Linked DNA regions of Diceros bicornis minor. The protein of the gene in region 1 interacts with the protein of each later gene in a pairwise test. Links are inferred from orthologs where the notes say so. Each region holds a gene or a part of one and is shown in the gene's direction. Other genes may lie near its edges.

What was found.
Region 2: the proteins of ABI2 (region 1) and KIAA1217 interact in binary tests that used the Homo sapiens proteins (3 or more experiments, as listed by UniProt). The link is inferred for Diceros bicornis minor from reciprocal best matches to the Homo sapiens genes ABI2 and KIAA1217.
Region 3: the proteins of ABI2 (region 1) and KIFC3 interact in binary tests that used the Homo sapiens proteins (3 or more experiments, as listed by UniProt). The link is inferred for Diceros bicornis minor from reciprocal best matches to the Homo sapiens genes ABI2 and KIFC3.
Region 4: the proteins of ABI2 (region 1) and DTNB interact in binary tests that used the Homo sapiens proteins (3 or more experiments, as listed by UniProt). The link is inferred for Diceros bicornis minor from reciprocal best matches to the Homo sapiens genes ABI2 and DTNB.

The regions. Positions count from the first base shown.
Region 1 is NC_080749.1:80,842,668-80,850,323, forward strand, and holds the start of ABI2 (abl interactor 2), read left to right. Parts: upstream 1-4,650; 5' UTR 4,651-4,827; coding exon 4,828-4,944; intron 4,945-7,656. UniProt on the Homo sapiens protein: Regulator of actin cytoskeleton dynamics underlying cell motility and adhesion. Functions as a component of the WAVE complex, which activates actin nucleating machinery Arp2/3 to drive lamellipodia formation.
Region 2 is NC_080775.1:23,534,633-23,542,489, forward strand, and holds the start of KIAA1217 (sickle tail protein homolog), read left to right. Parts: upstream 1-4,856; 5' UTR 4,857-5,126; coding exon 5,127-5,196; intron 5,197-7,857. UniProt on the Homo sapiens protein: Required for normal development of intervertebral disks.
Region 3 is NC_080771.1:11,205,500-11,212,793, reverse strand, and holds the start of KIFC3 (kinesin-like protein KIFC3), read left to right. Parts: upstream 1-4,276; 5' UTR 4,277-4,767; coding exon 4,768-4,785; intron 4,786-5,082; exon of another isoform or gene 5,083-5,150; intron 5,151-7,294. UniProt on the Homo sapiens protein: Minus-end microtubule-dependent motor protein. Involved in apically targeted transport. Required for zonula adherens maintenance.
Region 4 is NC_080751.1:56,957,303-56,964,226, forward strand, and holds the start of DTNB (dystrobrevin beta), read left to right. Parts: upstream 1-3,909; 5' UTR 3,910-4,058; intron 4,059-6,924.

The DNA.
Region 1 (7,656 bases):
TATGACTTTCAATAAAAAAGAAAAAAATGTATGAGAATTGTGGGCTATATAGCTATTGACTTTCTGAAAATGAGGGTTTTGTTTTTTTTTTACAAACTAATTTTGATGGATGTGTATTCTTTCCAGGAATTTTTAACTTATTTCTTAAAATGTACGTTCATACAGCTGTAAAGCACAGAATGCTCTACTGTACAGTAAGCCTTTTTTTCCCCAAATAGTTTGGTACATTTTTAACCATTATATCCATATCCCTAAAATTGAGACCCAAGTTTATATCACTAAAACTGAAACCAACATTTCAGATGATAACACTTGCCTAAAAATGTAAAGCTTAGATTCCAGCCATTTATCTTTTGATCACATACAGAAAATTCGTTTCAAAAATACATTCAAATTATATGCACTTGGTATGAAAATTTCCTGATAGTCTTAAATCTGATTAAAACCCAGAAATGTACATAAATACTATGAAAATGTTTTGTTCTTAGTGCTGTCAAGTGGATTCGGACTCCTAGTGACCCCGTGGACAGCAGTGCAGAGCCCTGCCCAGTCTTTCTGCGCCATCCTCTCACCTTCCAGCGCTGTACTAGCCAGTGCTCTACTGCTATTCACAGGGTTTTCATGGCCAATTTTTTCAGAAGTAGGTGGCCAGGTCCTTCATCCTAGTCTGTCTTAGTCTGGAAGCTCCACTGAAACCTCTCCACTCTGGGTGACCCTGCTGGGATCTGAAATACCAATGGTGTAGCTTTCAGCATCACAGCAACATGCAGCTGCCACGGCCTGACAACCGACAGATGGGTGATATGGTTTCCCCACCTGGAAACGAACCCGGGCCTCAGCAAGCTCTGAATCTTAACCACTAGACCACCAGGGCTGGCTGTGAAAATATTAATCACTGATAATTATTTTTCTTGTTTGGGGCGAGAAGGAGAACTCAGTTAACCATGTCATTGTTTGAATAAAAACTCTGCTTGCATTTCTCCTGTAAAATCTCTAACAGAAATTTAATTGCACAAAAAGGAATTCTTTTAAAATTCATTGAAATATATGTATTCATCTATATTCATTCATTGAAATATATATTGTTGGGCCAGCCCCGTGGCTTAATGGTTAAGTGCATGCGCTCCACTACTGGCGGCCCAGGGTTCGGAACCCTGGGTGCGCACCGACGCACTGCTTCTCCGGCCACGCTGAGGCCGCGTCCCACATACAGAAACTACAGGATGTGCAACTATGACATAAAACTGTGTGCTGGGGCTTTGGGGAGAAACAGGGAAAAAAAAAAAGGAGGAGGATTGGCAATAGATGTTAGCTCAGGGCCGGTCTTCCTCAGCAAAAAGAGGAGGGTTGGCATAGATGTTAGCTCAGGGCTGATCTTCCTCACCAAAAAAAAAAAAAAAAAGAAATATATATTGTAATATACAATATATATACATATATACCCAATTTGGTATTGCCTGATAAAGCAATAGCAGCCAGAAAACTAGTTTTAAAATTCTCAAGGTGAAAAACGAAAACAGTCCAAAATATCTTCATTAAGAAGAAAGACATTCTTATTTAATAGTTTCCAAGCATTTAATGTAAAACCAGGAAAAAGAATAAATTTGTATGGATATGAAACAGCTGGAATCATTATTTAGGTGCCATAGATGCTATTTGTTCTCTAATAAATTTAAAAATGAATGAGAAAATACAGTAATATTAAATACTAATTGACACTGTTAATAAGGTTGATACTAAAGCTGGTAGGTTGATGTCATTTAAAAGAGAGACTGAAAATTTTGGGACAAAGAGTTAGTGATGAAAACAATGATTATAGTCAATTAGCATGTCAATGGTGTGCAGGAAAAATCTGAGGAGAATGTCTGGAGTGAATGGGTATGTCTTCTAGATGTTGTAAGAAGAGCTATGTAAACAGTTCAGTTGAGCAACGTTTATTTCTTTTGAGCCCATACTATCAGGCATTGTATTATGTTCCTTACCTTAATTTCCTCATTTAAGGATCGAGTTACTAGGATGATATACATCAGGGGAATTCCACAGACATAGTGCATCTTTATTTCAGCAGAAGAATTTGACACTTTCTCACGAGTCGTGTCACTATGATGATGGAATATTGGATAAGGGTGAGTTCTTTAAGGTACATTCACAGGTGGCCAAATTTAAGGTATATTGATAGTGGCTCTGAATGACTGAGGCGTTTAGTGCAAGCCATCAGGCTGTCTTCTTGGCCTTGATTTGTTCAGCATTCTTATTAAAGGCTATGGTGAACCCCACAGTCTTGCTTATCACATCTGTAGATGATGTGAAGCAAGATTATTTATTTTCAAGGATTCAAATTTGAGACAAAGCCAAGGTATAACATATTGGAAATAAATATAAACAACTGCAATTAGATTTAAAAAAAAAATCAACTGTACTTGGCATGACTGGGTTAATATGTAAAAAATCTAAGAGTTTTTAATGCTTACTTTGAATCAAGCTGATGATAAAATTGCTAAAAAAAATGTTATCTTGGGCTGCATTAATAAAAGTATTCTCTGTGATTTTGGGAGATAGTCTCACTGGACTCAGAAAAATAATCCATGTTAATTTTAGAAAAATTAAGATGAACAAAAAACCCCCCTACAATCCCACCCCTCGGATAATACATATACACACGATATAGGTACTTTTATAGATCTTGTAGTTGTTTCCTTTTTGCTTAAATTATGTTGGTGGCAGCACAAGTGTATATCTATGTCCTTGGAGCCTTAGATTCTGCTTAGTGTTAAAAGCTCTCTTGGTGGAGATTCCCAGCTGCCAGAACTTGGAATCACAGACCATCAAAGCCAGAAGGGCCGTTTCAGCCGCATCACCGCGGAACTTGTTAGAAATATAAATTAGAAATATAAATTGGGCCAGACCAACTGAATCAGAAACTCTCGGGGTGGGGGTCTAGCAATCCCGTTTTAACAAGCCCTACAGGTGATTCCAGTCCACACTGAAGTTGCAGAACAACGGACCTGAGCTTAACCCTTTGATTTTTCAGATAAGGAAACTAAGATCCAAAGAGGTTGTCACAAATTAATTTGAGAAAGTACTAGAATCTTCAAGCAGTGATTCCTAAAATGAGGAATGATCCCTCAGAGAGATTTGTTTATTGGGTTAATGCTAAGCAGTATTTGAAAGAATGCTAGGTGGGATAAGTGTAATGGGGGAAGAGTCTGTCTACCATTTAACACACCTGGTGGGTTGCTTACAGTTCAACAGTAGCCTTTTGATCCATTGAAATTTAATCTGAGAGAAAAGTTTGCTTGGTCTAGTATGTTTTATTCATTTGATTTTCATCCGTGTCTTATTCCCTGAAGCAGGTTTATGTGCCGCTTAAGTAACTACCCCATTCCATCACTACTCTCTCATCAATCTCTAGAGTGGGATCCCGCGGCTTTCATTTTTAACAAGCTTCTCACACTTAAATCTGAGAACCACTAATACAGAAGATATTTAAAGTGGTTAAGAATAAAACTAGTTGGACTGGACCAACATCTTCAATATCCTTTAATTTGAGTGTCACAGTGAAAACTCAATTTGCTAATGTGTATATCATAGAGCCAATATAATAACATCAGAGATTGCTCCAGAAAATTAAAATGATTTTTTTTGAGAAACTATAATATCGTTTCCTCATCATCTGGAGGAAAAAAAAAAAAAAAAAAAGAGGTGAAAAAATCCCTGTAGGAAGGCCAAGAAATCACAAAAGCAAGAACAAGAGTTGAAATAATGGATCTTGTTCTCAACTACAAATGTAGTCAACCTTGCCTTTCCGCAGTACAAGTAAAGGTCACGGACTTGATAATATCTCAGCAGTTGTCAGGCATTTTAGTTTTTAAGATTACATTGTGTGGAGTAGTCAGATTTAGGACGAAAAGATACAGTATCCGGAGAGTAAGAACAGAATAATAACTCCGCAAGATCGAAATGATCTACCTTGAATTTCTGTAGCATTGAAGGTTTTTCCAGGTGCTTTCACATAAACTTTTATTTTATCCATGTAACAGCCCTGTGAAGAAGGAAATTAGTACCGGCAAAACCGTTTCCGAAACTTGAAACACTGAATGCACGAGGACAACAGACAGCGAAGTCGACGGCGGCAGGGGAGTGACGGGAAGGCTGCGGGCGAGGACGGGAACCGCGGCTGGGCAGGCACGCAAGGCTGAGGTCCAGGGACGGCGGACAGGAACAGAACAGAGGCTTCAGTGGGCACACACGGGAGGAGCCCTGGGATTATCTGCACCACAGAGGATGGAGGAGGTCAAGGATGAAGCGAAAAACGGAAAGCGAGGCGGCACTTCAAGCCGCATGGCAGCTCTGCGGCCCGAGATTATCCGTCAGGCCGCTGACCGCGGGGCGGCGGCAGCGGCGGGGGCGGCGCGCTGCGCCGGACTAACAAAGGCCGCCGGGGGCCTCGCGAGCCACGCAACCGCGGGGCCCGAAGGGTTAACGGCGCGCCTCCCGGCCCGCTCCCGCCGTCGCTAGGAGACGCCGGAAGTGGGGGGGGCGGGCGGCGCGGGTGGGAATCTTTTTCGGGCGCTCGGGGGCGGAGGGAGGGAGCGCGCGTGCGCGCGCCAGGCCGGCCGTCGCCGCGGTGACCGTCCTCGAGTCGGCCGGCTCGCGCCCCGCCCCCGGCCCCGCCGCCCCCTCCCCTGCCGCGCGCGGGGGCTGCTCCTCGCTCCTCCCGCGTTGCCGCCGCCGCCGCCGCCCCCCCCCTCCTCTCCCGGCCTTGGGTTTCCCTGGCGCCGCCGCCGCTCCCTCTGCGGTCCGCCTGAGGAGGAGGAGGATGTGAAGATGGCGGAGCTGCAGATGCTGCTGGAGGAGGAGATCCCCGGGGGCCGCCGGGCCCTCTTCGACAGTTACACGAACCTGGAGCGGGTGGCCGACTACTGCGAGAACAACTACATCCAGGTGCGACGCCGCCCGGCCGGTGCGCGGGCGCGGGGGCAGCGGGCGCGGGGACGCGGGGACGCGGGGACGCGGGCCGGGCCGGGGGCAGGCGCGGACGGGGGCTGTGGAGGGGCGCGGATCCGGCGCTCGGAGCGGCCTGGCCTCGGCGCCCGTTTAGCCGCCGGCATCGGTCCTCGGTCCTCGGTGCGGAGTGCTGTGTCCCGCCCCCGCTCGGCGGCGGGGCAGGCAGAGGGCGGCGTTCCGGGTGACAGAACCCTGCCCGGCCGACGGCGGCGGCGCGGGGCGGACGGCGCCCTCCCCCGAGCTCCGGAGGGCTTTTGAGGGGCTGTGTTGCTGCAAAGTAGCGTGCCTCCGTTTTCTGTTCGTGTGAAAGCCGCAAGAGACCGGTTTTTGCGTGTTTGTTTTTAGGATCTAACCGGGGATGCGGTAGAAGAGCAGTTGTCTCCTAGTGGAAGTTATTGCCATTTTTTTTCCCTGTGGAGAATGAGAAGCTGCATGATAATGGGCTGGGTCCCCCCCCATCCCGTTAGAATAGGTAATTTTCCTGTGGGAAAAAGAATAAAGAATTGTCACTATTTTTCAGAGAGAATTAGGAAATGATGCTCAGGGTTTAATTTTTCCCTTGATGGTTGGTTTGGCACAGGGACTTATAGTGGTAGGTGTGTGTGTGTGTGTGTGTGTGTGTGTGTGTGTGGAGGCGGGAGATGTTGGGTGAGACGAGATCCAGCTGCGCCTGGATGGAGCAAAAGATTGTGGCTTAAAAAAATTCTTCAAAAATTATTTGAAAGGGTAGGTTAAAACGCACAGTTTGCAAATTCAGCATCTTTTGTTTTCTTTATCGCTTATTGTGAATCATAGGTTCTACCTCCATTTTTTTCCCTTCCCATTTAAATTCTCTCGGGATAAAGGTGGCAGTGGAAGTACGTTAAGTTGTTTCTTCACTGTTGTCTTTTTTCCTGCTCCCACATCCGTCTTCCAGGCATCTTTGTTAACATCAGCTGTGTTGGGAAGCATTCTGAAGTCTCAGTGTAAGCTTAAAAAAAAAGGTGTTAAAATTTCTCGTAGATTTATAAATTTTGTAAGGACCACGTGGTTAATCAAAGATGGTATTGTGTGAAATTTTACTAGATTAGACATATACTGAACTCTGTATTCTCTTGTAGGGAATATTTGTATTGGAGAATGAACAAGACATAATACAGGGCTTTTCCCTCCAAAGAGGCTGTTGAAAGTATGGCCAGTAGGAAAAGAAAGAATGTGTCGTGTGTCAAAGATTATTGCAAAAAATGTAATTGTCCATATTTGTGGGGTGCTTTGCTGATATTGAGTGGGATAGGAAAGATTCAAAGGTTCAGTTGCTCAATTTTCCACTAAAGGTATTTGAAAGTCTTCTGTGGCCTGGCGCTGTGTCAAAAGTTGATGATACACACCTAGTGTGTACAGAATTTCATATTGTAGTTAGTAGGAGAGGCTGATCTGTGAGCACATGGATACCATATAGTGTGTCAGTTTATACTCTGTAATGGACTACAGGTGTGAAGAAAGCCTGGCGGAAGCTGTGCTGTCCCCAGGGAATTCAGTCTCTAGGAGAAGCAAATCTGTAGGACTGAAGTGGTCATTCCATTGCCTCCTGCAGCATAGTATGGGAAAGAAGTATAGGTCAGAAGACAGACTCAGGGTGGAAGAGTGGTTGGGTTGCAGTTATTACCAAAAGAGAAACAGATTTGTCTCTCTTTGGAAGAGAATTTTTATTGTAATTTGAAGGTATAGTTCTCTTAGATTATGATTGTACGTAAAGGTGAAAGTACATGGATTAATAATGCTGAGAGGTTAAAAGGATCAGCGTTTGTCATCTTTTTATATATTTAATACATTTCTTCCAGTTGAGAAGAACGTTACTGCCATCATTGTCTGTCATAGCAGTGGGACTCAAAATTTAGTGTGGTGGCATTTTAAAATTAAAAGTATAAATTTGATTAGTAGAAATAGATTCGGATTTAAAAATATTTCTTCAGGGCCGGCCCCGTGGGTTAGCGGTTAAGTGCTCGCGCTCTGCTGCTGGCGGCCCGGGTTCGGATCCCGGGCGCACACCGATGCAACGCTTCTCCGGCCATGTTGAGGCCGCGTCCCACATACAGCAACTGGAAGGATGTGCAGCTATGACATACAACTATCTACTGGGGCTTTGGGGGAAAAAATAAATAAAATTAAAAATATTTCTTCAGTATAGCATCTAAAATAGATTTTACACTTTCGCCTCTTAGATTATCACCTGTTTTAGGATCCAGTGGGTATATTATTGGTGTTTTCTTCCCAGATAACAGCTCTTACATGATTTGTTTGTGGTAAGTTGCTAAATAGAACATGGTGATAGTGGATTTGTGCTGACCCAGCTGCACATTTGACTGCCCCTCCTTGTGACCAAAGAACTGACCAGCAGGGGTTTTGATGCTGCCTGTGACCCTGCAATAGATGAAAGTTAATTGGTGGGATCAGTGATCAGATGGTCAGTTTAGCCTTATTATAGCATCATGCCCTAACCACTAGCTCAAGTTAGCTGACCCAACACTCATTTTACTTTGTGGAAATGTAATTTTTGCTTGTAAAGCAGAAAAAAGAAAAATCTGTGAATTCGTGTGTAACAAATGGTAAGGTCCTTTGCTCAGTATTCTTAAATAGCTGGTTTTATGCATAGGAATATCCAAAAATTAA
Region 2 (7,857 bases), on another chromosome or scaffold:
TGAGGCCTCCCAAATACTCTCTATTGAAAGGATTCATAATAGCACTGCTGGGTAAACTGAGGAAGCAAATGGGCGCTTGTATCTGTGGAAGTTCTCACATTCTCCTGGATCCCACCCTGGCCTTTAGGAACTCTGCAGAACACGTCAGGGTTTAGCTCACTCTGGCATAAAAGGGGTGAGCATCTGCAAGTTGCAGTTTTCACTTAGAAGTTGCCACCTGGAATCCAGACTCGTTCTGCGGTGACTGGGAAGCAGAGCCGAGCATGGCTTCTCCACGATGTGCTGCACACATGGCAGCTCCAGCTCCAGGGTTTTGCAGACATGGTCTTTGCTCTCCAGCATCTTCCAACTTGAAAGAGATAAAAGAAACCCCGATAAAAGTCAACATCAATGGAGTCTCTTGAAATGAAAGCAAATATGCTTAAAGTATTAACACATTGGATGGAAGTGTAGTTTATATTTATAACCACATGAGGAATTTGTATGGGGGAGGGGAGGAAAGTTCCAAGACTTGGGAGCAGAAAGACTTCAGTGGAGGGGGCTCTTGGCCACCTCACTTCTTGGCTGGTAGGATCTCTTGGAGCAGCTGGGATTTTAAGGACTGCAGGTAAGATCAGGAAGATTGGTTACCCTCTGTAGAGAATGCTGGAGATGTAAATGGTGACCTGGTCACATATATGTAAATGGTTCCTTTCTGGTCACACAGAAAGGAAAATTCTGTTTTGAAGGATGAATCATACAGAATATCATATTGTGGAGTTTGTGTTTCCGATGTGAAATTGTTGGTGGGGCTTGTAATGCTGCTCTAATGAGGTTCCCACCTTTAATTCATGCTTAAATTTCTCTTACGAGGTCTGTCGGGAAACTCCAATAGCATTATTTTGCATTTGGAAACCTGAGGTGCACGTGAGTTTATCTTGGACTACACAGAGGTGACCATCTGTGCTGGTTTGCCAGGAACAGTCATCGTTTCTGCATCTCGTGTAATTATTAATAGTGTCCCCTTTCTCTATCACAAATGCTCTGGTTTATATTTAAGTATAAGTCCACACTAGCCAGCTGACACATTGCTGGCAAAACAAGGATTGAAGATCCCACATTTCATTCACCAGATCATCCATTGAAGTACATGTTTTCCCAGCTGTCAAACGTCCTTTATTCCTTTTGTGTGTGTGTGTGTGTGTGTGTGTGTTTGTGTGTGTGTGTGTGTGTGTGAGGAAGATCAGCCCTGAGCTAACATCCATGCTAATCCTCCTCTTTTTGCTGAGGAAGACCGACTCTGAGCTAACATCTATTGCCAGTCCTCCCCCTTTTTTTCCCCCAAAGCCCCAGTAGATAGTTGTATGTCATAGTTGCACATCCTTCTAGTTGCTGTATGTGGGACGCGGCCTCAGCATGGCCGGAGAAGCGGTGCGTCGGTGCGCGCCCGGATCCAAAGCCTGGCCGCCAGTAGCGGAGCGAGAGCACTTAACTGTTAAGCCACGGAGCCAGCCCAAAAGTCCTTTATTTCTGAGTTACAGAGTGACACACAGCAGCGTGTCCCTTAGAAAAGGCGATGTGTAACACATCAAACATGAGGTCTCCGGTAGAAACATTTTTCTGTTGTTTTTCATTTTATTCTGTTTTGTTTTATTTTCACAGTTGCCAATGCCTTTGAAAATTACATTTTATGACTTCAGCAAGCAGTAATTATTTCTTTTGTGTCCTGATGTCAAGTCATTTTAAGCTCTCTTGTTCCTAATAGGATTTAAAGCAAAAAAAGAAAATTGAAACATATATCAGGGCCATACCACTTATTGCTTGCTTCTGGAAATGATTTCTCTTTAAAAACTTACATAAAGGAAGTTGACATGCTCTCCACAGCCCTGTAATTAAATAGGCCTGCTGAGAAGTCGTACGCAATAGTTTATGATTCTCCAGATTAATGGCCATCGTGGCGGACGCCCATTTAAGTTGCGTTATCAAAACTAATAACGACCCAGTTCTGTAACAGGTTAGCGCTGACTGCAAAAATCAGCTCTCTTTTATCTCATCACTTGTCTTTCCTTTTAAATGACGCTTTTTTGTGTGTTAGCTCGTTTTGAGTCATGAATTGCCAACATATGGAGCCATTAACCAAGGAATAGTCTTGCACCTTCCCTGGTTAACAGAAATGGAGTTGAAAGTTTAGCCCCCTGGTATCATTATTGTAGCTCTCTGTATGACTGGAGGAAAATTACATTTCGAATTCTTCCCGCTTCCCTGATGCCTTTCACAGCAAATTTCAAAGTATGGCAGTAGGCAGATTGGTTTGTAATAGCAATTTTTAAACCCCCAAATTAAATTAAACCAAAAACCATGGTGTACTTCTAGTTCAAATAGCGTTTCTTCCAGAAAGAACATCTCCACAGTAACAGCAATGACAATGATAGTATTTTTCATGAAGATCTGAGTTACTGAGTTTATGCAGATTGCAGAATACAGTGACCGTTTTCCAGAGACCCCTCTCAGAGAAACTGACAATCAGCAAAAAGTTCTTAGTAAGATCTGTGTGCTCTGGGGAGAGATGTTGAGTCAGCGCAAGGGCATTAACACAGTGCCTTCTCAAATTGTTTTCCGTTCCCCTTCTCAAGGAGAAGGAACAAAGGGCCAGTAACTAGTCCAATAGAAACTTTTCCCCATAGAATGGTCAGAAAGTTTAACTATTCAAGAGAACATGTTTTATTACCGTAAATGTATGTCGAGATTTCATGATCCTTAATGATTTATGTTAATTTTCTTCACTGGTGATGCCTTTTTCTTTTGTGCATTCCACAAAGAGTTTTGCCTGGAGGAATATCCACAGAGGAGGCTGCAGTCTGCTTTGCCCATGGGGGAGGAGAGGGTCCGAGCAGCGTGAACACATAGTCGGGTGGAGGGGGTTCCTTGGGCTGCCTGGAAACTAACCAGAGTTCGAAACTGGTGGGAGAGCTGCCCCTATTTTGCCTATCTGGGGATCAACAGGGCCCTGAAGAGCTGCTCTCACGCTTTCCAAACAGCCCCAGGAAGCGTAATCTGCATCTAAAAATGGATCTTTTCTGCCTGGATTGAGCTAGTGAGGAAGGCCCTGGGCAGGGCAGGGTGCTATTGGTTGGTGCCCTTGTAGGTGTGCTGTGGGCTCCTTCATCCTGGGGAGTTTGCCTCTGTACTGTGTCAAGTGACAGGTAAGAGCTGCTAGGAGCAGCTCGTCACACACCAAAGCGAGTCAGGTGAGTGCCAGAGTCCCAGGCCCCAGGGACATCTGGTTTAGGCTGACGCTCTGGTGCTGTAATGTTGTGCTTGCCTTGTGAGCTCCCTCTTTCTCTCTCTCTCTCTCTCCTGCACCACTTCTGCCCACTACCACCACCATCCTTTTAGGCATTAGTAATTTGAAGACAAATAGTCAAGAGCTGTACAAGGACCAGGATAATCTGGACCTGGGGGCCTGAACACAGATTCCGTCCTTCACGAACATTTGGTACCTGAGGAAATAGTAAGGTTAAGACAAGATTCATTTGGCATTTCCCTGCAGGCCACCAGTACAGAAACTGTGTACAATTAGTTCCTCCTTAAAGCAAGATTACCAAATAATTCTGTTGCCAAGTCGTGGAGACCTTGAGTTATCCGCCCTCTCAACCCAACTGCCTGTATTCATGTTGCCAGGTATGGGCTTTAACTTTCTGGGAGATTCCACATCTTTTTGGATTTCAAGAAAAATCCTGTTAGGAGCTGAGGAGTCTCTTCTTCCCTTCCCCACAAGAAGCTCACTCCCTGGCATGTCTACTTTCCCTTTGGTTTATATCCTTTGTCCTAAATGGCCAATATGTCTCCCACGCTGCCAGAACACACATGTGACCCAAGGTCAGAATCTGGAGGATAGGCCAGGCATTGTTCTGCGCACATTCTTCATCTAAATTAATCTAAACTTTGGCCTGAATGGCTGGTAAACTGGGTCAAGGTATGGTCAGCAGGCAAATCATTGTCCTTTTTTTCTCCTCAAATGATGGGTCCACTACAGATTAAAATATCACACTCTTCCTACCAGTGATTGTGTTACTTTCAGATAGCTGAAATAGCAGAGCTCAGATTATTTTCCCATCCTTTTTTTGTGGCTCCTTTTCTCACTTTCTGGGAAATTTGCCAGTTTTTCAAGGACTGGGTGAAGAACAAAATAAATATCTGTAGGTAGTTTAAAAGGAGAATAAGTAGGTTGCATGTAACTCTCCCCATCCGAAGCAAACCATTTTAACTGCTTTTCAGAGATTTTAAAGTAATTAACTTGAGAGATTCACAAGGTCGATTTTACTAAGTTTACTTTTCAGATCTATGATCAAGTTGTGTGTGTGTGTGTGTGTGTGTGTGTGTGTGTGTGTGTGTGTGTGTGTTGGGGAAAGGGGAGGAGTTGAAGTGTAGGCAAATGAGTACAAACTCTTTTTAAAGTCCAGCTTAAGTGATCGAAATAGTGTCAAAAGTAAACAGCCTCTTTGTGTCTGTTAATCAGGCTCCAAACAGTGTCAGAAAGTGTTTGCTTAACATTCAGCTTATACTCTTTCTAAATTTTTTTAAGGGGTTTCACTGAAATTTGGGACGTTCGGCAGTTGTTTATTACTATGGATATCAGCCTACTGGGGAGGGTCGTTCTGTGTCTGAGATTAGAGTCCAGAGAACGGGCTTCCAGCAAAGGTTCATGCGGGTGACCTTGTGTGACATGTCTTCCTCGCCTGGCCGCGGAGTCCCGGCGGGTCGCGGCGGTGGCGGCAGGCAGCCTGGGTCCGGGGAGGGAAGCCCATCACCTGTTGGGGCCTCCGGGAGCGCGCGGCGCGGGGCCGGCCGGGCAGGGGCGGCGGCGGGGGCTCGGAGCACAGCCCCCACTCCTCCCAGACCAGTCCGGCGGGCGGACGCGCGGACGCGGGGCGCAGCACAGAGGGCCGGGGAGGCCCGGCGCTGGAATGCGATTTTCTCGGGCGAGCGAAACTTTGCACCGGAGTGGAGAATAGTTTGGGGTGGGGTTTCGCACCGTCCCCTCCTCCCCACCCTCTGGGCCCCCTTCCAGGCGCTTTCTGGGAGCTTTCAGAACTGCGCTCTGGAGTTTAAAGAGCAGCCAGGAGCTTGTGCCGTAGGCAGGGACAATGGAAGAAAATGAAAGCCAGAAATGTGAGCCGTGCCTCCCTTACTCAGCAGACAGCAGACAGATGCAGGGTAAGTAACAGACTCATTCAAAGATGGAGTTACAGTTCCGCGTGTCCCTCGCCGCGGGCTGCTTTTTATAGCTGGAGACAGGGCGCCTGGCGAAGAAAAAGCATGATTTCTTGGGGTGGTGTGTTTTCAAAACTGAGTGGAGAGCTGCGATTTCTCGGGTTTGGCCTTATCTCTGGCAGGATTTTCTTAAGCAGCAAAAGAAGTGGCGTGGTGATGTCACATTTGTCGCACAGTAAGCAGTCAGGATGTGCGGTATCTCTAGGCAATGCCAAATATATCGCAAAAAGCGGCTTTTCATACTCATTGCTCCCGTCGTGGGAGCAAAGAGCTGCTTCTGTGAAGCTCTGTTTGGGACGGCAGCATTTCCATTCATTGGTTGGGGGATTCCATGAGGCAAATGCATATTGGATGCAAGTTTTGTGGCATTTTAGAGTTAAATCACAGAGCTAAGAGGTGTTTGATTTTACAGATCAGAACAGCGGGGGCGCATTTGTACATCTGGACGATAGATGGAACTCTGTGAATCTTCTGTGTGCTTTAATTCAAAAGTTGGGAGTTGTGAGACAATTTTGGTAAATTTTCTCCAGGCGGTTTCCCTTTAATTGTATTTACAATAGACTTGTCTTTTCCGTAGGGAATTTCCAGAAGCTTATGTTGTTCCAAAGAGATTTCGCAGTGGGGTTGGGTGGAGAAAGGACTTCTCTGCTCTCCAGTGTCTGAAGCCTGTGGTGCCCGAATTTCTCCCATAGTATCATATAGGCAGCATGTTCATAAACCGCACAATCCAGAACCACCCCCGCCCACCCTACCGCAGGTTCATCCAGGGGCCAGTTAGTAACTAGAAGACATGCTTGTGGGGCTGCAGTGCGCTGCGTGGGAGTAGGGATTATGCACAGGGGAAAAGGTGTGTGTTTTGTAAAAAGGCAAAAGGGAAGTAACAAATGACTCATCCCCACTGAAAATGTAAAACTAAGCCAGACAGAAGAAAATGCAATTACAAGAGAGAGAAAGCCCCAGGGAAATGCAGGCAACTTGAAGCTTAGTAAACCCTGGAGAATCCCTGAGTCTTCTAGTCATTGGTCTGGGTATCTGTGCTTCCAAAGCAGAGCCCTCTCCTGGAGGGGCCTGGTCAGTGGGGTCCAGCAGGAGATAAGCTCCCCCCTCCTCCCTCCCCAGTTTGATAGGACTGAATCCTACAGCAGGAGTTCAACCTCTGGGCCTCTGCTGAAAGAAATGACTCAGAACATCAGGGGCTATTAGAATGGGACCAACTTAAGAAATAACTTTCAAACAACCACAGCAATTCAAAGACGCTTCAGAGGCTGGAGATGGTCAGACTGAGGGAGTGTGATCACTTTATTCATGTCTTCATTCATTCAATGAATATTGACCATCTGTTATGTGGTAGTCACTCTTTTAGCTACTGGAAATCCAGCAGTGGACAAAGTTGACTAAAAATACTTGCCTTCATTGAACTTACATTCTAAGGGCCAAGTTTGAGGGGGAGGGCGTGGTAGAGATAGACAGTGAACAAATAAGTAAACTATATAGCCTGTTAGATGTCAGGGTCGCCAGATTTAGCAAATAGAAATATAGGATGCCCAGTTAAATTGGAATTTCAGATAAACAACAAATAATTTTTAGGATAAGTATATCCCATGCCATATTTGGGACATACTTATGCTAAAAAAATTGTTATTTATCTGAAATTCAAATTTAACTGGGCATCTTGTATTTTATCTAGCAGCCCTATTAGATAGAAATCAGGCTGTGGGGAAAAATAAGGCCTGGAAATTGAATAGGGAGCGCACGGGGTGAAACTATAGATAGGATTAACAGGGAGAGCCTCACCCAATACCCAGAAGAAGTGAGGGAGGGAATAGCAAGGATGTGTTCAAAGAACAGCAAAAATATGGGAGACAGATGGGAAGAAAAGAGGTTAAGAGGTAATCCCAGGCCAGGTCATGTATGGCCTGTGACACTATGGTAAGGACTTGAGCTTTTATTTCAAGGAAGGTAGGGAGCTGCTGGCAGGTCTGAGTTGTCCCATAAAGGGTAATACTTCCACAGTAAAACAGGCAAGAAATGGCACAGCTTGGCCCGGGGGGCAGTGGAGCAGGGGGTGATAAGATGTCAGATGCTAGATGGACGTTGAAGGTAAAGCCAAAAGAATTGCCGAGGGATTGGATAGGGGATATAAGAGAAACAGAGGAGGCAAAGATGACTTCAGAAATTTTGGTCTATGTAGCCGGAAGAGTGGAGTTGCCATTTATGTACTTAAATGGGAAGGCATTTGAGAGGAGTAGATAAGAGGGTATTTATGGTTTGGAAGTGGGTGGAGTGCAGAAAATCTTTTGGATGTGTTAGTATTGGGAGGTTTATCAGGCATCGACATGGAGATGTTGATTGTGATCTGGATATTTGTGACTGGAATTGTGGAGAGAGGACTGGGGCGTCCGATGAGAGATGGGCTAGGATTGGGTCTATGTGCCAAAAGAAAGATCCAAGAGATGCGCCCTGGGCCACTCCAGCATTTAGATGTCAGGGAGCTTGGAAGGGGTGGCTGGAGAGATAGTGAAAGAGGGATACGAACCCAGGTTAGATTTTAAGATTCCGTTGAGTTCTGGGTGGAAATGATGCTGTAAAGGAGTGTGGCTTCAT
Region 3 (7,294 bases), on another chromosome or scaffold:
GAGGCATGGAGGAAGTGACTGAACCAGGGTTCAAACCCAGGACCCCCTGACCTCTAATCCCAGTGTTAACCATTGCTCTATACTGTCTCCCCTTAATATAGTAATAACATCTGTTCAAGGTCAAGTACCAACAAGAAAGTCCGAGCCAGTGACAATAAGTTAAGGGTGGCGGGATTTAGGGACTTTTTCTTCTCTTGGTTTCTCCTACATTTATGCAGGAAAAAAAAAATTGAAGTTAAAAAAAAAAACAGCCACCTAGAATTTGCAGCAGATGGGGAAAATGAATGGGGAAGTTGAAAAGAAGCAGGATTGATGTTAATAATGCATGCCTTGGCTTAGAAGAAGGAGCTGGAATGATTTAGGAGCAAGGAGGGAAGCCAGGAGCTTTTGGGCCAAGGAGCCCAGGCGGGAGAGCTGACTCAGAGGGAGGCGGGGAGGGGGCGGGCCTTATCTTCCCCGGCCGTTCTTGCTAAATCTTTTTATTACCTGGTGCTTAAGTACACATCTCCTTAGTGTTTGCATTCCTCTCATTTTTTAGACTACAGGAAATGATAAAGAGGGGGAAAAAAACCCCTCTGTTTGCTTTCCACCCTGGAGAGCTCAGAGGGGGCTATCTCTGCCAAATTGTTCCTCAGGTCAGAAAGAGGTTTTAGGTTCCCCTCCCCTGAGAGCCAGGAAGTGCTGCTAGGTCCAACCTCCCTGGCAAATGCAGAAAGGGAGTCACTGTCCAGGGATTTGAAAGCAAGGTGGTTTTATTGGGGGGAGGGTGGCCTTGGTTCCCTGCAGAGACCTTTAGAAATGGGAGAACTGTTCCCCTGGTAATACAGCTTCTGGCAAGAAGGTGCCTTGGGCAGGGATGGGGAGGGCACAGAGGGAGCTGGAAAGGGAGAGAGGGGAGAAAGGTACCATTTGTTCAAATCTATTGAGCACCTAATGCCCGTAGGAGCCCAGTCTGTAGCAGACAAGAGCGACCAGAAGGTACGGTCCAGCCAAGGGTCATCCAGGACCCCACCCCTTCATGTCCACTTGGGAGCATGGCTTCCTGAGAGCTGGCAGGTGTGAGCCAAGAGGCAGCCCGCCTGGTACACCCAGAGGTCGGGTACAGCTGGAGAGGAGTCACACTCCTGTTTGCAGGGCCGGCTGCAGAGCCCTCCCCAGCCCCTCCTCGGGCTGCTCCCTGGCTCTTTCTGCGCTGTCCAGGACAGACTGTTTCAGGGGTATCTGAAGATGAGGATTCAAAACAGCAGCTAATTGAGTCAGGATTACTTAATATGTGACTCAACTCCAGAATGGTGTTCTCTAACTTCAAGTTTTCTAACTTCAACTGTTTATTACCCAGACTCGTGCAAGGATATACACTTGTCACAGCTGCAGGGTGCTCCTTACAGACGACACTGAAATAATTCCTTAAGGATTCTTCTCTGACTTCCGATAAGAACGATCATGAATTTATACGGGAAGAAGGTCTGCTCGGATATGCTTCATGCACCCTGTTCTTCCTGTCTGAATTATACGTGATCTATTTATTTATTCAATAAAAACTTACATGACGCCAGGCACTGCAGAGGCTTTCCCTGTGATCAAGTCAGGAAAGGGCCCTGCCCTCAAGGAGCTGATGGTGTAGACAGGAGGGGTGATTACAATCCAGTGTGGGGGGTGCTGCAGGGGGATGAGCAGTAGGGGGACTGTGGTCTCTGCGGGGGTCAAGGAAGGTGACCTCTAAGCTTGAAGGACTTGGAGGAGGAGTCGGCCAGGTAAAGGAGGGTGGAGGCAGGTGGGAGCGGGGCGAAGTGGAGGACTTCTGGGCAGGAAAAACAGCATTGCGGAGGCCTGGAGGCGAGCGAATCTCAAGTGAAATCGTTAAAACCGGAAAATCGTGTACATCTTACGTGTGCTTTACTCTGGGTTACTATGAGAATCAGATTCAACACAATCTGGCTTGTTATTCCTCTCTTTTGGTTTCCTTCTGGGTGGAACTCCTTTGGCCTGGACTGTGGCTATCTTTCTGATGGATGCCTGAGAGTTAAGGGGCTTCAGGCTCTTAGAACACAAAGATGGCGCTGCCACCCCCCGCCTGGGGGACCGAGTGGATGTGGATACGGATCTGCAGTGTTCCGGTCACTGCTTTGTCTGGCCCTCCCTGAGACAGCTCTGCCTCCCCCAGAAGGTGGGCAGGAGGTCAAGACCAAAGGCTGAACCCAGGAGTCCTCACTCATGGGTTCAGGACCCCAGCGTGGGATGGCCAGGTTTCTGGCAAATCCTCCACCTTCCCTGTGGCCAGGGGAGAGTTGGCAGCCTCCACATGAAACAGTCAGCGAAGTTCCTGGGATAAAAATGACCTTGAAGTCATTGGTATGCACTTCCTGGTGACATTGTGCATTCTTAAACTAAATTCCAACAGTCATGAAGCAATTTGTTTTCCCATTTCGTCAGAGTTTTGCTAGAATTCCGAAAATTCCTCCTCCTAACACCTCAATTTTCTTTTTTTTCTGTGAGGAGATCAGCCCTGTGCTAACATCTGCCAATCCTCCTCTTTTTTCGCTGAGGAAGATTGGCCCTGGGCTAACATCTGTGCCTATCTCCCTCCACTTTATATGGGACACCGCCACAGCATGGCTTGCCAAGCAGTGTGTCCGTGTGCGCCCGGGATCCAAACCGGCGAACCCCGGGCTGCCACAGCAGAGCGCGCGCACTTAACTGCTTGCGCCACCAGGCCAGCCCCTCAATTTTCTTTTTCTTTCACTGGCGCTTTGATCTTAATAAACTCTTGCAGCTGTATACATCTGAGAATACTGTATGTATGTGTATCTACGTACACACAGACACCTATTGGGTTCCAGTCTCAGCTTTATCACACACCAGATTTGTGAATGAACTTTCAGAGGCTCAGTTTCCTCTCCTGAAAAACTGGGGATATGATGGTGCCCCCCTCATAGGGCGTTCAGGGTTAAATGGGATCTTGTTTCTAAAGAGCTTAGCACAGCGGCTGGCACCGTATTAGCTTAGAATAAATGGTAGCTATTATGTGCATAGAAAAAAAAAAGACTGTACTGAAATGTTGGCAGCATTTATCTCTAGTGGGTGGGATGATGGTTACAATGAACATCTATTACTTTTGTAATCGGAGAAAAAGAACAATAAATGTTATTATTAATTTAAAAATCTGGCTCTGGCTTTGGCAGAAGGAGCCTGCAGTTAGTGTCAATGTACCAGCCAGCGAGTAAGACAGGGGTTACACCAGCACTGTGAAGGCAGACGCTACCCCCCCTCCAGTCAAAGACTATAATAAAGGGAGGTACTTGGTCAGGCCTCTAGAGGAGTTTCACCCTCATCCATCCTTACCGTTCCCTGGCCACTGCTGTCTGGAGAGGCAGGCAGGGGGACTCAGAGAAGGTAACTCTCAAATTATGGCCTTCTCTCCCATTGACGGGGTTACCCAGGGTTCTTAGCTGGAAATCTCTAACTCTCAATGGACCCATCCCAGGAGAGTGACATCTATCCTCTACTGGGCCTTCACTCAGCATCTCAGTTAGAAAATAAAACACACACTAGCTCACTTCCTGTAGGGGGATTGCGAGTGTCCAGGTCTGGCATCCAGAACAATCTGGGCCCAGGACCTTGGCTCTGTCTCCCGTTGAGATGCTTGACCGCCAGCCCAGCGCCTGGGCAGCTGCAGGGGAGAACCCTCCTGGAGCTGCACGCCCCCTCCAGTGCCCTCCTTGCTCCTCCTGGGCCATCCCCTGACAATCAGGAAGGGGCAGCGTGCCCACCCTCCTCAGATTGTCTGCGGAACCATCAGCCTGCACTGGGCTGGCCTCCAAGCTTCATTCTTTCTCCTCCTTCCACAGCCTGGAGGGGGAACATTGCTGCAGACTCTGGAGTAAATGCCACCTCTGTTTGGGAGACAAAGAACAGAGTAGCTCCTCTGGGTCAGCTGCCTCTCCTTGGCTGGCTGGCTCTCTGCCTCCCCGAGGCCTCTTCCAAGGCATCCTACAAGGAGGGCCTTCCGGGGCTACACCGGGAGCCGCTGCCTGCTCCCGGAGCTGCTGCACTCAGAATGTGTTTTCATGGGAGCTAAAAGGAATATTTTACCTTAAAAAAATCCCAAGTAGCTTGCCTGCTCTGGAAGATGTAAATTTGCCTGGTGGGGGAGGTGGGGGTTGTGGGTGGAGCTGTGGCTGGGGAGGCAGCACGGCCTATGTATTCCTACCAGAGCTAGTGGGAGCATGTGTGTGATAATGTGTAAAAGTACGTGTGTGTAACTAGAGTGTGTAAGAGCACGTGTGAAAGTGTGTACTAGGATTTAAAAGAATGTGTATACTGCAATGTGACCGAATGTGTCCTAGAGCATGTGAGGGAACATGTGTGTGAGCATGGGGAAGTATTTGTGTGAAAGTATGAGTGTGGTATGATGTGAGTGCATGTGTAAAGTGTATGAGAACATGTGAAAGTGTACACACGTATTATCTAGTGTCTAAGAGCATGTGTGAAAATGTTGCTAGAATGTGAAGAAAACACGTGTACTAGAATTTGTGAGTGTGTCAAGGATGGCAAGGGAGCACATGTGAGAAGTGTGTGTGAGTACTAACCAGAGTGTGAAAGTTTTGCACTAGCATCTGAGGATGTATTAGAGTGTAAGTGCAAAAGCATGTACATATGAACTGGTGTGGGATGCGTGTGAGAACTGTGAATGCGTTCGTGTGTACTAACTAGAGCCTGTGCGCGAACATATGTGTGCTAGTGTAAGGGCCATGAGGACGTACGCCGATGTGCGTGCACCAGCAGGTGAGCGCTCACGTGTGCACTAGCGCGGGCGGGACGCGGGGAGCGCGGAGCCCAGGGGGAAGGTCTGGGGGGACCAGGAAGGCGGCGGAGCGGGCGCCCCGCGCGGGAGCGAGCGTGAGTGCGCGCGGGAGCCTGTGCCGGAGCGCGCGCGCCGCCCCCCGCCGGGGTCGGAGCCGGTTGCCATGGGAACGCGCCGCGGCCCGAGTTAATCATTTCCTGTGGAAAGTGTGCGGGAGGGGCGGGAGCGGGGCGGGAGCGGGGCGGGCCGAGGAGGCGGCGGCGTGGAGCTGCCTCCCGCCGGCGGGCCGGGCCGGGCCGAGCCCCGGGCGCTGCGGCGACGCCGGGATCCTGCCTCCGCCAGGCCGGTGAGTCGGGGGCCCGGGCGGGCTGGAGGTGGGCTGGGCGCTCGCGGTCCGCCCGGCCCGGCGTTCGGGCGCCGCGTGCGGGCCCGCCCTGCCCGCGGGACCCCCCTGCCCAGACCCTCTGCGGGGCGCGAGGAGGGCCCGGCCCAGAGGACCTTGCCCGGAGCAGGGCATGGGGGCGGCACGTCCCCTGGGATCGGAGCAGCCTCGGGACCCCCTTTGCAATTTCATTGGCCCAGGAGAGCCAGACCCTCCCGGGGAACCGCGTGCCAGTCAGCGCCGCCCCCTCCCCGGGCAGAGGTCGCCGCACCCGCAGGGCGCCCTCGAAGGCTGCAGTTTCGGGCCCTCCCACCACGTACGTCCCCTGGGCAGTTCGCTTTCCCCCTCGCAGGGCCGGGGGTGGGGCGGGCCAGTCCCGAGGTTGGGAAGGAGGGCCTGGGCCGCTGCCTTCGTGGGCACTGGGGAATTGAGCCATTGACATCGGCAGCCTGGGGGGTCCCAGCAGCGAGGGCGAGCCGGAATCCAGCTCCTTTAGCCCCCTGTTGTGAGTTAGAGCAGAACTCTGGCGCAGTGAAGGGCCTGGTTCTGGGAGATTTTAAAGAGGAAGCTGCATTTAAATTCTCAAGTAGCATTTGCAGTCTTCCCTACCCCGAACACATCTTTCTTAAGGTTGGAGGTGGTGGCCACCCCTGGACTTTCACCTTCCCTGGCTGTCCCTCCGCTTGAGCCTGGGTGAACACCTATCTTTGCCCCTGCGGCGCATTCCGCACGCCCTTGATAAAGTAGCCCTCTCCTTGGCCAGGGAGAGCCTGCATTTGCAAAGAATGCAGTCTCAGAGTGGGGCCCTGTATTTGCAGTGACCGGACTTCAGGGACATAGGGTGATGAGTTCTGCTGTCCTCACCGGCACCAGGGAGCAGAGGCTTTGAAATCTGGGTTGCCCTGGAAAACCCAGGATGTGTGACTGTGGGCAGGGGAGGTCCCAACCCTTGTCCAACCTCCCTGACCTTCTGCCGGCTCTCCCAGGGAGACAGCCCTCCCCAGCAGTGGTCTCTGGGCGGTTGTCAAGTCTGTCCCTCAGTCATTGCAATATCCCTGGTCTGGGGGGAGGGGGCTGCAGCTCTACCACCTGGGGCTAAACCCAGAGAGGCAGATGCCCCTCCCCCTCACCTGCCCCCCCTGCATTCACCCACCACTGGAGGGAGGTCACTGAAAAATAAAATTTTTGAGTTCTTTATACATGCCGTTATTGTTCTGAACACTTTATATATGCATTGTCTAATCTTTACCCCAACCCTATAAGGTGGATTTCTCCCCATTTTACAGATGGAGATAGTGAGGCACAGAGAGACCACATAATTCTCCTAGGGTCACACATCTAGTAAGTGGCACAGCCAGGTTCTGAGCCAGCTCCACTGTTATGCTCCCCACTCCGTCACCCCACCCCATGACCTAGGTGGGTAGAGTCTCCAGCCTTGGGCTTATTTGAGAGTCCTTGATACTTTTGACCTTCACAGCCCTCCCGCTGCTAAATTCAGCTGCCTTTTCCTCTTCAGGATCTTGCACACGCCCTTCCTCTTTCTTCCTGATATCTTCCTGGCTGCCTCCCCAACTTCCCTTCCTGAAAGCCACAGATTCTTGCCCCTCAGACTTAGCTGATCTCCTTAAAAGTCTTTCCCCTCAGCCGTGGAACCAACCTTCGATGCCCTACGCCGTCTCACCTCTCCAGCAGCTTGGTGGGCAGGTGGAGCCTGTCTCTCTCCCTCCTTGCCCGTCGGGCCGCTGGTCCTTGGGGTTGGTTGTGTGCCCAGCTCTGTGCCAAGCAGCCTGGAGAAGAGGGCATCTGGCTGCTGCCCCTTCGACTCTACACTGGTCCATCTCCAGTTCCTCTGTGGAGCCCGCCCACATATCTGGATTAGCCTCCGCCGGGTTCTTTGGACCACAGCCCCCTCCCAGTGAGACTGCCCCCAGGAGCCTCCTCCTCCAAGTCATCTTCCTCCCGCAAGGAAGGCAGAGACCACGACTCCGACTCCGAGCCGGGAGCCTGGCATTCTGCCAGGGCTCTGCTCTGCGAACATGGGTCACCAGATCTTCGGACCGCCCAGCCCTGCGCTCATAGTTCTTTTTCGTCTCGATGCTTCCATCATT
Region 4 (6,924 bases), on another chromosome or scaffold:
GCTTGCATCTTCTTTCCTTGAGTTTTTAGAAAATGTCAAAACACTGCATCACTATTGCCTTGCTTTGTATGTTGCTCCTGAGAAATCTGACGCCAAATATTTTGGTTACCGGACTCCATAACAAACTACCTACCCTGAAAAGGAATGGCTTAAAGTAAGAACCATTTTAATAATAACAATCTCTGGGGTCAGGAATTTGGGTAGGGTGTGGCTGGGCGATTCTTCTGTTCCACGTGGCTTCAGCTGGGGCCACTCAGTGGTATTCAGCTGATGGCTGGACTGATATAGAGCATTCATGATGACTTCACTCACATCAGCTAGGATCAGCTAGGCCTCTCTTCCTCTCCATGTAGTCTCAGAACCTCTCCACAGGGAGTTAGATATTATATACGGTGGCTCAGGGCTTCAAGAGCGAGCAAGAGCAAGTGTTCCTAAAGACGCAGGTGGACTCTTCAAGACTTCTTATGACCTAGGCTTGGAAGTCCCATAACATCACAAATTCTATTGGTCAAGCAATTCATTTAGGCCAGTCTGGATCAAAAGAAGTGATAAAGAATTTGCAGCCATCTTTAATGTACTACAACCTAATTTTCTTACCCTTTTAAACGATTTGAACTTTTTGCATTGAGGTCTTGAAGGTTATTATTATTATTTTTGTGTAATAGTTTTAAGATGTTAGCTTTCAGAATTGATCATTCTGTGGTCATTTCCTCAAGTACATGTGGGCCTTTTCATTATGTAGGTTTACATTTTCTTATTTCCAGAAAGTTTCTTGGATTATAGTTTCATTATACGTGGAACTTCAGCTACACATATGTTGGACATTCTTTGCTTGTATTCAATCAAATGACATTCCAAACAGAGAGAGAAACAGCATAAAGGTACGGAGCCAAGAGAAAGTAGGAACATTCTAGGGGTTTGGATGGGGTGTGTGTAGGAAGCGACAAGAGATGAAGTGAAAAGATAGGCAAGGTCTAGATAAATGGAAAGTCTTGTTTGCCATGCTGAGCAGTGACATCCTGGGCAGCAAAGCTTTGAAAGTTTTTCTGACGTGCAGGATGGAATACGGATTGGAAGGAACAAGACTACAAGAGGGAGACAAGATAAAAGGCTATTGCTTTGGTCTATGTGAGAGGGGCTAAGAGCGACAGATTCTAGAGTTATTTATGAGGAGAATCAACAGGATTGTTGAGTGTAGTGGGGATGGGGAGGAAAGAATCAAGGATGACCCCTGGGATTCTGGCAACCAAATGGACAGTAATGCTAAAGAGTTTCAGACACGTAGAGCTTGAGGTGTCTCTAGGACATCCAGGTGAGACATCTGGTAGGCTTTTGAGTATATGGAACTCAGATGGGTGGTCTGAGCTAGATAGCACATTTGGGATTGCTGATAAATGTGGCAGACGAAGACAGGGAGTGGATGAAACGGTTCAGGGAGAATGTGTGGGGTGAAATGAAAGTTGAGAACAGAACCCTGGAGACTGAGGAGTGGTCAGAGGGGTTAGGAGATGCATCATGTCGTGAAGGCCAATGGAGCTTCAGAAAGAGTAGAGTGCTCTGTGTTGTCACATGCGACCAAGAGCTCTAGTAACATGAGGACTCACAAATGGCCTGTGGCACTTAGGGTTAAGCAAGCCATTAATGACTGAGAGCAGTGCAGTGATGTGGTGGGGACAGATGCTACACAGTCATGAGTTGAGGAGTGAGAAGCTGCTCAAGAGGTAGAAGTGAGTAGGCTACTTTCAAGGCATTCGTAAAGGAAAATACAGACAGGGCATAGTAACTAGTGCAGAATCTAGAGTGACAGAGGGGTTTCTTCCTTTTTCTTTAGGACAGGAAAAGCTTGAACATGAATAGATGGTGAAGGCAAAGGACAATGGGTAAGAGGGGTTGGTAATTTTGGGAGTGAGAGGGGGAGAATGATTGAAATACGTTTGAAAGAAGTTTTCTGAAGATGCGAAAGGTGATGAAATCCAGAACCAAGATGGAGAGATGCTAATAGAAGTGTGCTTAGTTAGTTCCCAGAATGGTTTATGAGAATCTAGCTCACATATTGAAATTACCTTGGTTTCAATCAATAGGGCAAATATAGCAAGCAATATTTACATATTTATTTTACACTATTTTCACATCTTTTCTCCAAAGGACAAGATCAATGTTTTACCCTCTCAGTGCCTCCCACACAGTTGGTGCTCAATGAGTGGTAAAGGAATAAACAAGATGTCTCACCTATATTCTGAGTATCTTAACATATTCAGACATAGTCAAGACCCTGTATACCAGTGAAAAAGTCTTTTAAGGATGCAAAATAGTCACAAAATTCATGTGTGAAAGGTTATCTTTTTTTGAGGAACCTATTTAGTCTCACTTAAAGTTGGTTACCAGCATTTCCTTCACCATAGGAGTTATTTTTTAAAAATAGGAAGATGAGAGGAGAAGGAAGAGGATGTTCTAAAGGCAGGCAGGCAGGCAGCAGCAGGAGGTGGCACGGTCTGCCTTACCATAAGGTGCCAAAAAGCACTAAAAAATCAGGCACAAAGCATACTGGTTTGGGGTCACTTAGCTTAGGAACTTACATCCTTCATTCACAACCAATAGTTCTTAAAGGACACTGCTGGTTTGAGCCTTAAATAATGTTGAGAAAAATGATTCTTTGAGCCATTAAAAAAAAAAGTAGCTCTTCCTAATTTGGCATCATCTTCTATGTTTCACACAGTTTGGAAAGGATTCTATCCAGCCATTTGTGATAACACGGATGGACATTGAGGGTATTATGCTAAGTGAAATAAGTCAGAGGGACAAGGTCAAATACCATATGATCTCACTCATAAGTAGAAGATAAAAACAACAACAAACACACAGAGGCAGAGATTGGATTGGTGGTTACCAGAGGGGAGGAGGGGAGGGAGGAGGGTTAATGGGGTGATTAGGCACGTGTGTGGGGTGATGGATTGTAATTAGTATTTGGGTGGTGAACATGATGTAATCTATGCAAAAATAGAAATATAAGGATGTACACCTGAAATTTATACAATGTTATAAACAAATGTTACCGCAATAAAAAAATTAATTAAAAACTTAAAAAAATGGATAATATTAAAACAAAAAAAACTGATGCTGAGATGGTAAACCTTGGTCACCCTCTGTCCTTTGTCCAAGCTATTTTGATGCCTTCCCTTTTTTCTCCTAGGACTTTCTTTTTTTTCCTTGAGGCTGAATCCAAATGCCACCTCTTCCAAGAACCCCTCCGCATCGTCCAAGCGGAAGTAATCGCTTCCTCCTCTGCGCTCCCACAGCATCTTCCTGTGGCTTGGCTTTGCACGGGTCACCAGACCTGGTTGTTTACATGGCTGCCTTTCCACTAAGTTATGCGCTCCTCGAGACCAAGGACCGTGACCGTGACTGTGCAGCCACACAGCACCTGGTACACCGCGAGGCGCTCAGTCGGTGCTCAGTAAACACTTGCTGAGTTGAATTAATTTGGAAAAAACACTCAGGGCAGGATCTCGTGCTCGAGGCGAAGATGAATGATTCATATGGTTGGTTCTTTGCATTCTTTACCTTGTACTCACGTCGGGCCGAGCACCCAGCTGGCCGAGCAAATACCTGTGGATCTGAAACGCACCTCCGCCGCCCGCCGCCAGCGTGCAGGAAAACCCCCAGGAGGCACGTTTCCCGCGCCGACCCGGAACCCGCGGGCGAGACGGGGGGGCGGGTCCCGCCCGGCCGCAGGGGCGGGGCTCGAAGGGAACTCGGCCCGCTTGCCCGCCCCCTCCTCGGCGCGGCGGAAGCCCCGCCCCCAGCCGCGCGCTCGTGCTGGCGGCGCGCGCCCGCCCCCCGCCCCCCACCCTGCGCCCTCGCGCCCTCGCGCCCTCGCGCCCTCGCGCCGGGGGCGGGCTCGCTGCGCGTGCCGGGCGCCTGGGAACGTTCGCCGCGGGGGCGGCTCCGGGGCCTGAGCGGGCGCTGCCGTCGCCTCAGCTGTGGGGTCCGGGCCGGAATAGGCGGAGGAGGCTGCGGCCGCTGGAGACCTTCTGGACGCCCCCAGCTCCGGCCGGGAAGTGAGTAAGGTGGGGGGTCCGCGGTAGCGGCCGCGGGCTGCGGGAGAGGAGCGCGGTGCTGGAGCCTCGCGCCCGCGAGGAGCGGGAAGGAGCCAGCGCAGCGGCCGGACCTCGGGAGCCTGCGGGGGTGCGGGGCCGAGAGCGGCGGGAACGGCGCGCGGGGAGCCGGGGCCACTGCACCGCGCGCGCTGCGAGGGGAGACGGCGCCGCGCGCCCGGCCCTGGAGGGGCGAGCGGAGGGGATGGAGCGGAGTCCCGGGCCGGCGCCGCCGGGCTCCGAGCCCCGGGCCGGGGAGGGGTCTCTGGGGTCCCGGGCGAGCTGTGGCTGCGGCGCGCGGAGCCGAGGTGCGGGCACCGGGCTGATGCTGCTGGAGCCGGGCTCGCTGGGAGGAGGCTCTGCGTTAGGTGCTGAAGGAGGCAGGTCCTGGCAGAGGGCAGGTGAGGCAGGCAGGCCCTGGCAGAGGAAGGGAATTTATTTCAGATCACCCCAAAACACTCTTTCCCGAGGCGCCTAACAGTGAACCTGTGCACCGAGGTCACCCTTGGAAGGAAAGTGGCCTGAGAGGACAGAGGATGCAGCTGACGAATGCTTGCTGTTAAATTCCTGTGCCAGGCCTTCTTGCGATTAGGAAGACCTTCCAGCATTCTTAGTAAATTTATTGATTAGCTACGGTGGGTGGAGAATCGTGGTCAGCACTGGGGCCATAAAATAGTGTAGAACACGCCATAATTTGCTCTTTAGGTGCTGACGTTTTGGTTGTGAAGGTATGCGTATAAAATACAAAGCAGCATTGAATTTTGTCTCGTACCTTATTCACTTTAGGTCTCGTTCATCTTTTCCCGGTGCTGGGAAATTGGGGCCATAAATTGCTTGGTTTGGGGATAAAGCAAGAGAGTCAAAGAAGCTTGCGGGAGAAATTTGGGACAGTTTTGAAGGCTGTTCTGTGTAACATTTAAAGGGGGAGAAGGGAAAAAGAAATTTAGAAAGAGAAAAATTCCCTTCTCAGCTAGAATTAAGCTCCATGGCTATTCACAGCTAAATCCTCAGTGACAAGTACAGTGCCTGGCCCACAGCAGTCAGGCAATAAATATTTATTGCATGAATGAATGAATTAAGCAAGGTTTTGCTGTATTTTACAGAGCAAGGTTTACTCTGTATTTACAGAGTATTAATAACTCTGGTGTTAGAGATGGCTGATGGACTTCCCCTGTGCCTGAAGTTCTCTCTTTTTTATTTTTGGTGGTGTAAGGTAACCCACGTTCTTAGGTGCTGGCATTTAAAGCAATGGCTAAGGTAAGGGAGTCATGATTCCTTGTGGCCGCGCTGCTGCTTTCACATATTTATTGCCTGTGGGCTGTCAGGAGCTTACTCCTTGGGCCCTTCATCGCCAGTCATCCCATTCTGGCCCTTCTCTTTTCTGCCACTGAGGAAGAAGGGTAGTTTTGTCTAGAGAACTTTTTTTTTTCATTTTTATTGTGGTTCTTGGATCTTAGGTCTGTAGTAAGAGAATGTGTGTCTGCTCTTCTGTGAGGGCTGGAATCTACCACTTCTCTGCCTTGGTTGGATTTTGGGACTCGACAGCTCCAGGCTGCTGTTTCAGTGCCCTGGCTTGCACTGCCTGTTGGGTTACTTTGTCTGCCAAATTAAAACTTGACCTTTTATGAGTTCTGTGAGGATTTTTATCATACATCAGTGGAATTACCTTTGAAGGGGGTTATGTAGTCAGAGTAGTGCTGGCAAGGTTTTTGAGTGTCCCCTATGTGTGAGAGACAAAATTTCTACTGAGCTGGAAAATTAGAACCAATAGAATGCCAAGTTACCATTTATTTTATGTCTAATAGAAATCTCTCAAGGCCTTTGTTTCCTCATGTAAAAAATAAAGGTAATATTAATCCAAATTTGGCATTGTGTAGTAAGCCTTGGAGAACTAAGTTAATTTCTCATTAGTTTTAGGACTGTGTACTTCAGAGTGCAACCAGCAGGTGTCTACCAGTTCTTGTTTTGGGGTGCCTAGATCCTGTAATTTTGGGTGCCTTGTTCAAGATTCTCCCAAGGATATTGTTTTTTATTTATTTGTGTGTTGAATTTATCAACTTTATTGATGTATAGTTTACATATCATAAAATGTACAGATGTCCCGTGTACAGTTGGATGAGTTTTGAAAAATGTATGTACTGTGTAACCATTATCTCAATCAGGATGTAGAAATTTACATCACCCCAGAAAGTTCCCTCATGCTGGTTTTCAGTCCCCCCTCCCTCATTTTGTTTATTTCTAGTTAGACAAGCATCAGGGCTGTGGCGTCTAGTTGTGCAGGATGTGTACTGCCCAGCTGTAAGGGTGCCATTCACAGCAGAGTCCCTGCGAATGGCAGCTCCTGGGATTGTGTGGTGCATAGTCTGTGTGGCTGTGTACTGCAGCTCGGCACATGGCTCGTGAGTGCACACTTTCTTATAAAATACTCCAACAGTACAGACAGTATAAAAGCCCCCTCGGCCTACTCCCTTCTCCCCCCTGAAACTGTGGTTATCACTTTGTTGTGATATTCCCAGCCCTTTCTCTATGCGTTTTCATCTATATATAGGTAATACAGAAAACAGGGTTTCCTCCCACCCCCCACATTAATGACATGACACCATACACATTGTTCTACAACTTTTTTTGTAACAGAATGTCTGAGATCTTTCCATGGTGGAACATAGGGATCTATCTACCTGGTTCTTCTTGACTCCCACACAATCTCTTATGCAGTATGTACTGTACTGTAGTTTATTTAATCCTCTCCTCATTAATGGCCATTTAAGCTGTTTGCCATTCCAGACATTGCTGCAGTGAATGAAAAGTAGATTTGCTGGGTCAAAGGGGT